2 linked regions of the Xenopus tropicalis genome follow. The protein of the gene in region 1 purifies or fractionates together with the protein of each later gene. This does not show direct contact. Links are inferred from orthologs where the notes say so. Each region holds a gene or a part of one and is shown on either strand. Other genes may lie near its edges. The genes, in order: iqgap3 and cdc42.

Region 1 (3,820 bases):
ATGTCAGATACTACCCCCGGGTATATGTGCTAACCAATGACCAAACATCAATCGACCTTAGTATTTGCCCCCCTGCCTGACCAGCAGATTAAAAAAAATGATTGGGGTATTTCTGCTGGAGGGATTAAGCAACCAAATATACCCTAGCAGGATATGTATACCTTAGCGATCATGTTGATAATCTCCTGATACTCATTATCAGAGGACACCAGCCCCAGGCTTTCCAGCCTCCTCAGGTTCCGGATAATCCTGCGTTTCTTCTCCTCTATGGTAAGTTGGCTGTTGCCCAGCAGCGACCGATGGCGCTTCATTTTTTCTGGGGTCTTGGCTTCTCGTCTGGCTCGTTGATTCATCAAGTAGAGATGTGACGCTTCCTAATCAAAACCCAGATTCACTATTCATTGTTTGTAATGTTCTTACACACACAAGTAAACTGCACTGGAGCAAAGCTTTATGGGGGGGCATCCCTTAGAAATTACCTGGTATGTTCCAGATAAGAGGCAGGCCCTGCGATAGGTTTGGGGCTGTACTGAGCAGGATTTGATGCACCTAAGATGCACCCACTGGAACATGTTACAAGACGTCACATGGGCATCCCCACTGAACCCACATCTCATTTAGAGAATAATTTATGTTTATAATATATAGCTCTGCTAATTGGCTGGGTTGGGTTTATATATGTCATTACAAAAAAAATGTTGTAGGCATCAGACATTTTGTACCATTACCTCCAATGACACTGCATCATTTAGTGGCCAATATAGAAGGTTCATTTCTAACAATGACTAGGAAAAAGGAAAAGGGAAACCCTGCTCACTACTATCATTTCTTCTGTGATCTGATTGGATCCCATTTGATTAGTCAGAAGCAGCTATTTACCCACCTGCTGGGCAGAAGCGGAAGTGTACAGAAGTTCTGCTAGGGTATCCCCAGGCTGTGTCTGGATAACATCTACCAGCAAGTGCTTTGTGCTGCAGCGGATGAAAACAGAGCGAATGAGTATTTAGGCAATGCAGAACAACGACGCTTACCAGGGTTCAACTCCCAGCATCCTCTATCCTATTTCTATAGTTCTGGATATATGAAATAATCTATTGGTGCACAAAGGGACAGATGCCCAAGGCATGCACTTCTCACCTCAGTAACAGTCCTTGAGTGTCCATTGCTTCAGCATTGCTTTCCATCATGTCAAACTTGTTGGTGAGAGTGAGAGACATCTCCAGCTTCCTTAGCGGAGCCAGAGCTTGTTCTGAGCCGACATCGCTGAGGTTTGAGGTACTTTCACCTGGAAGCAAATCACCCACAGGTTACTGTAATGCAAGGTAAATGCTGGCTAAGACTGAATGGCAGCACTGGGATCCTGTCTTTGCTTCCACTATGCAGGAAGTCTGTATACTCTCCCCATGCTTGTGTGGGTTTCCTTTGGGTACCTCTGCTTTCCTCCCACACACAGAGGCAGTTTAAATTGCTCCTGCTAAAACCTACCGTAGTGAGCGTGAATGTGATAGGGACTTTAGTTATTAGGTATCATAGCCTTTCAAATGTGTAATCCCCCTGTGTAAGCTCAATTAGAAACTGTCTCTGTAGCCATAATCTAACATCACTGTGTATATGTGAGACGAAAAACTGCCCCTCATACAAGTAATATAGCTATAGATACTATATGACCAGCTGAGATTTGCTTACAGCCTGCACAGAGAGATTTCCTATATCTATGCCAGTACAGGTATGGGACCTTTTATACAGAATGCTCGGGACCTGGGGTTTTACGTATAAGAGATCTTTCCGTAATTTAAAGATAAAATAAACCTAATAGGATTGTTTTACCTCCAAAAAGCATTAAACTATATCTTAGTTGAGATCAAGTACAGGTACTGTTTTATTATTACAGAGAAAAGGGAATCATTTAACCATTAAATAAACCCAATAGGGCTGTTCTGCCCCCAATAAGGGGTAATTATATCTTAGTTGGGATCAAGTACAGGTACTGTTTTATTATTACAGAGAAAAGGGAATCATTTAACCATGAAATAAACCCAATAGGGCTGTTCTGCCCCAATAAGGGGTAATTATATCTTAGCTGGGATCAAGTACAGGTACTGTTTTATTATTACAGAGAAAAGGGAATCATTTAACCATGAAATAAACCCAATAGGGCTGTTCTGCCCCAATAAGGGGTAATTATATCTTAGTTGGGATCAAGTACAGGTACTGTTTTATTATTACAAAGAAAAAGGAAATCATTTTAAAAAAATGTATTTAATTACATTATTTGCTTATAATGTAGTCTATTGGAGATGGCCTTTCTGTATTTCAGAACTTGGATAACGGGTTTCCGGATAACTGATCCCGTACCTGTATAGGTATCCCACTGTACTAAGCACAACCCAACAAGACATCTGTAGGGTTTAGTAGCCCTTGTTGTAACCAATAATGTGGAAATGGTCTCATACCAATTAGAGATTGGACTGTAGGCACCTCCCCAATATCCTCCAGAAGCTCATGGATTGGATCCTTGTGGTCAGGAGCGATTGAATCCTGGTGTTCTACCAACAGCTAAAAACAACAAGAAGGTTTTACATTACACTACATTAACATTTATTTATAAAGCGCCAACATATCCCGCAGCGCTGTACAATAAGTGGGTTACATACATTGGACATACAGAGTAACATATAAAGCAATCAGTAACCGATACAAGAGGTGAAGAGGGCCCTGCCCAAAAGAGCTTACAATCTACCCTCAATTACATTATGAGAGAACAGCAGCCTCCCTTGTGTATATACCTGGGGAACTAAAGGCTTCCTCACCTTGTGTGTATCGATCAGCTCCCCGACAGTGATGTAAATGACTGGCTTGGTCATGTTCACCATCTCGGAGTACTCGTCTATGTTAAACCTTTCTTCTGGCTCTGGCACGGTACATGCAGTGCGGATAAACTTCCTGTAACCAATAAAATAAAGCCTTTATTACCTGTACAATAAGACCAATGCATGCTGGCTGGGTATATATAGAGGTATAATGCTATAACAGATACTAAGTGTTAAACAGGTGAATTATAAATACTAACATATGATTGGTTGCCACATGTGGAGCAAACTTTGCACCTATTAGCCTGCAGATATATCCAGTTAAAGGGGTGGTTTAAAGTTAACTTTAATATATTATAGAATGTCCTACTTCTAGCAACTTTGTAATTAGTCTTCATTAATTTATTTTTATAACTTTTTGAATTATTTTCTTTCGTCTTCTACATCTCACCAGCTTTCAAATTGGGGGGGGGGGTCACTGACCCTGGCAGCCAAAATCTATTTCTCTGTGAGCTACAGGTTTATTGTTATTGTTACTTTTTATTCAGGCCCTCTCCTAATCATATTGCAGTCTCTCATTTAAAACACTGCTTGGTTGCTAAGGTAAACAAGATCCTAGCAACCAAATAGTTGCTGAAATTCTAAACTGGAAAGCTGCTTGTTAGTTTAAAGGTGATCTCCCCCTTTAAGCTCCTTTTCTTGACTGGTTAGTAAAGCAGAACCTGACATATCAGGGAATGAAATGGAAACACAGACCTGAACTTCCAGTACGTCTCCTCTAGATACTGGTTGAGGAGGCCGAGATGAGAATCCTCAAACATTTTGTTGGCAGCGGCGTGTTGGAGAACTTTAGCAATGGAGCCGAGCGTACGGCGCTGATCCGGGTGAAGTGTCCCCCCAGCGGAGAGATCAATGATATCGAAGGCATCTGGGGCTACCACAGCCGGGTTCATAAAACGGTAATACAGCAAGTTGCCTACAATCTAGGGCAGAAAGCAGCAGTTCTAGTA
Region 2 (4,438 bases), on another chromosome or scaffold:
AAAATCACTGGCTCTATTATTTTTACCACTTAAGGGGTTTGATTTTTTTTTACAGCAAGCTTCAATGAGTTTTACTTAGGAAATGCAGATACAGATTTCCCAGTTAAGTATGACTGATATATGCCCACCTTCTTATTTGTCATTATGAAAACAGCAGACATTTTGCATTCAATGGCACCAACTCAGCTTAAAATCTCCCTGAGTAAGTTCCACTGCCCTAGGAGAATTTGACAGAATGTCGTTTTGGCCCTGCTTTACCAGGATCCATTAGCAAAAAAAGAAGAATGTGATTAAAGTTTTTGATGGTAATGCAATATCAAACACCGTCTCAGGAAGTGACACACTTATTTTCTTCTAAATCACAGGTCCGCCCAATGAATAGCTTTGTTGAGACAAGCATACAAAATCCATCTATTATACTGGCAACCGAGAGTGCAGAGCAGTACAGAAGAACTTACACCTAAAGTTCTCTCAGGATGACGACTATGAGGTCAGAGTAAGCAAGGAAACTTCACCCATCAATTTGCTTTCCCCTCAGCTGAACCTACTTATACTCTTCCTTATCTCTTGCTAAATCAGCCACAGGGATTCCAAGCAGCAGTGAAGTAAATGTTAATGAGCCATTGAAATAAAGGCTCATTGATCCTGCTTTGTCTTGTGTGACAGTGGTTCTGATAGTGACAGGTATATCTGTATATCTAGTGTCCCTTCCATAAAGCAAGAATGGGTTTGTTATTTGCCACAAAGGAAACAGAAATAGTAACATGAATACCAGGAAACATTCCTTAGTGCAAGCATTAAAATTGGCAATATATCTTCCAGCTGTTAAGTTAAATGCTTCAACCCTCCCCGTTACCCAAAAACAAAACCCTACAGTAAGACTGCTGTCATGCCAAAAGCTAGTGAGATATACCCAATGCAGCTCCCCCAGGTGTGGCCCGATTAAGTTGCTTCAGATTCACAGTTGCAGTGGCAGGGCCAAAGAAATGGATCTTAGCAGCAGCAGGCACTGCCATCTTCACAATTTATTTATCTGCATGGAGATGTTCTATCACAAATGAAATCTCTGCCAAGTATGTGCTGCCTCTACTTTTGACTTAGGGGTTAATGGCAGATTGGGCACTTTCATAGCTGCAGGTCTTTAGATAATTTAGTTGGCTACTAACAGCCACTTTCTCCTTCTGACAAAGGGTATCACAATTCCTCAGTGAGGTCACCATAAGGGTAACATCACACCTTGTGCCTCATGTTCCAGCAGCAATGAAAGGCACCACACTGCAAGTCAGTACCCACATGGGGTTTATTTTGGCCTGAATGTGCAGTTGCATGTTTTCCAGCCAAAATTCAACCCATATTCCAACAGAGCGGATAGGCACAGCATTCACATAGAAAATATTGCAAAACCAGAAAGCATGAAAAAAAGAACTTTCTGGGGTTGCCAAACCGCATCTACCTGGGACCCAATGAGTGCCCACTATGAAGCTGTTTGGCGCACTATAAAAAGAGGAGGAGAACAAGATGATCACAAATCACTGTTTGGGGACCAATTCCCTAAGTGCTCACAGGGGAGCAAAACAGCAACTGTATTGCAGCCTGCCTGTAACAAACTCCATAACTTTTATAATCTCTATCAGTACTCTCTATGCCCACGCCTAACACCAATTTTGGATAAGGATGCTAATCAGGTATACAAATAGTTTTTTTTTATATGTTTTCTAACCCCCCCCACCCCCAAAAGGCTGTTAGAAAATGCCCAGTGTCTGCTCTCTACCTTCCTTTCAGTACCCTTGGAGACCTGGAAGCTACAGGCATGGGCAAAAATGCTGTAGGGGCCACTACAGAGCAAACATCAAAGGCCTTCCAGAATCCCAATAGAACTTGCAAAGTATATTGATTAGAGGAAGAATGAGCAGAACCCGTACAGCCAATGGGGATGGACATCACAAGTGGCCGGCCCTCCAGCAGTTATGATCGCGACGTTCCGGCATCCTCCACCAAACTACGGGTTATTTTAGCCGAGGAGCCAAAATCTACAAATTCTTTCCTGGTTTCTAAAAGGCCTTGATGCTGGCTGACAGCTTAGTGTACAGAACCAGCCTCTCCCTCCTACCCTCCCCCAGCAGCAGCCTCCTCCCTGCAGTATTTCCTCCCTGCTCCCCCCAAAAACCACCACCATCCGCCGATCTATCGGTAACACAGCTGATCTTAAAGCGCCCCCTCCCAAATTTGCTGTTTTAGGGTCCCGAGGGGCAAGTAACGAAGCGATCTTAACCTAAAGCCCCACTACAACTCCCAGCATCCCTGGCAGACTCACCGAATGCTTGAGCGTTCGGGCGGATAGACCCAAGTAAAAGAAAGCACAGCTAATGAGAATAAGCCTCACCTACCATGTCCAGTCCCCAAATTCCAGCGCACACAGCCAATACAGTCCCGGTTTACCCAAACATGTCAAACTCACGCAATTAACCCCACTGAGTTACCCTGCACAAGCAGCCCGCAACTGTACCCAGGGGCGCGACCCCCCATATACCAGATAGCCCGACAGGATGCGGTACCGGGCCGCTCCCCGTTCCTTGTTACAGAGGCCACACAGCAATTCCCTGCCCCTGCGCTCCCCTATATACCTCGCGTTGCGAACAGTTCCACTCCAGCCATACACTGCCCCCGAGTGAGGATAATGTTCCCCCCAAACAGCCAGCGCTCGGAAAGATTCCCCCCACTTACCCGCTCAGCCTCTCCCCTTCTCTCCACCGGGCGTTGGCAGCTACTCGCAGGGTTTCCTAGGCTTACAGGCAGGGGTCAGTATACGTAATGATGTCACGACGCTCTGGAGTGGTGACGTCATTGCACAATGCGGCGAAGAATTGCTGCAGGTTGACAAGGGAAGAATAAGCAGAACTGGTTTGTGGCCATCTTTATTGAGGGCTTTGGTCCTGCTGCTGTACCGAATACAAAGGTGATTTTACACAGCACCACAGAATTTTTTTGCGCACTGCTTCAAGAACATAGACTGGGGGAGCGGGTACTAATTCAAATCGTTCAAGGTTTTTTATTTGTCGTTCGCATTTTCAATCTAAAAATAAAAACCTGGGCGTGATTTGCCCGTATTGTGAAATGTCTGCCGCAAACTCATGATATCCGGTCAGGTGACTTCCGTATGAGCAAAGTAAAACACATTTGAAGTGACGATATTTAGGTGGGCTCAGATTTGGGGAAGTTTGGGTTAAATGGTGACAGTGACAGTCTTACAATACAGAAAGAAGTGGTGGTAGAGGGCTCCTTGCAGAGTGTTGGCCTGAAGCGAAAGACAGCGAGACTCAAGGTACAAAGGATTTACAGGACGTAAAAAACCGAGTCAGTGAGAATTGAGCTTGTCAGCAGTAGCTTGTGGGAGTTGTAGTTCTAGGACAGGTACTGAGCGCATATTCAGCTTTTATGTGGCGTACATGACTAGAAAACAAAAATATCAACCTCACCTAATAGGTACAATCATAGCTTTTATCTTTAGCCAGAAATTCAAGTTTGTATTAGCTCCAAGGTGGTTTTTATTGACGCATTGCAATGTAATATATAATTTTTTGAAATCAGTTCCTGTCTGGCCTTTGCTTTTCTTATCTGCTCATGCCATTGTCACATTGTATCAGTAGTCAGCTCTCCTCCAACCAAGACTTCACTTCCCAAATGCCTTGCAAGTTCTGTGATAAAGGGCTCTGGCACACGGTGAGATTAGTCGCCCGCGACAAATCTCCCTTGTCACGCAGGCGATTTCGGCAAATCGCGAAGTTGCCTCTCGAGGCATTTTCTAATCTCCCCGTGTGCCAGAGCCCTAAGGGTGAAGACACAGGAGCTACTAGTAGCAGCTACTTGTTGTGGCTACACAAGTAGAAAATGCTGATAATTTATTAATAACTGTCTCTATGTGTGTTTTAGCAGAGGCAATTGTCAGTATTGTCTATGGCAGGGTATTTTCTGGCGTTTATTAGCAATGTGTCTTCACCCTAAGGGCTCTGGCACACGGGGAGGTTAGTGAAATCTTTTTCGCCGGTGGGATGGCAATTTGGGGAGATTAGTCGCCCGCGAACAGGGAGATTTGTCGCGGGCGACTAATCTCCCCAAATTGCCATCCCACTGGCGAAAATGTAAGTCGCCGGTGGGATGGTACACGCAGTGGCACGATTTCGGCAAATCGGCGAAAATGCCTCGCGAGGCAACTTCGGCGATTTGCCGAAATCGCCTGCGCAGCGTGTGCCATCCCACCGGCGTCTTATATTTTCGCCGGTGGGATGGCAATTCGGGGAGATTAGTCTCCCGCAAACAGGGAGATTTGTCGCGGGCGACTAATCTCCCCGTGTGCCAGAGCCCTAACACAAAAAGGAGAATAATGGAAGGGTAGAAGGCATTGTGGGAACTGGAGTCTTGACTGAAAGAGAGCTAATTT

What was found.
Region 2: the proteins of iqgap3 (region 1) and cdc42 purify together in Homo sapiens (affinity purification with mass spectrometry; 4 studies listed by BioGRID and IntAct, with this or other methods). This does not show direct contact. The link is inferred for Xenopus tropicalis from reciprocal best matches to the Homo sapiens genes IQGAP3 and CDC42.

What each region holds. Positions count from the first base shown.
Region 1 is NC_030684.2:133,159,727-133,163,546, forward strand, and holds part of iqgap3 (ras GTPase-activating-like protein IQGAP3), read right to left. Parts: intron 3,794-3,820; coding exon 3,567-3,793; intron 2,944-3,566; coding exon 2,811-2,943; intron 2,557-2,810; coding exon 2,454-2,556; intron 1,286-2,453; coding exon 1,138-1,285; intron 972-1,137; coding exon 884-971; intron 375-883; coding exon 162-374; intron 1-161.
Region 2 is NC_030683.2:94,443,519-94,447,956, forward strand, and holds the start of cdc42 (cell division control protein 42 homolog), read right to left. Parts: upstream 2,869-4,438; 5' UTR 2,725-2,868; intron 2,716-2,724; exon of another isoform or gene 2,625-2,715; intron 1-2,624. UniProt on the Homo sapiens protein: Plasma membrane-associated small GTPase which cycles between an active GTP-bound and an inactive GDP-bound state. In active state binds to a variety of effector proteins to regulate cellular responses. Involved in epithelial cell polarization processes.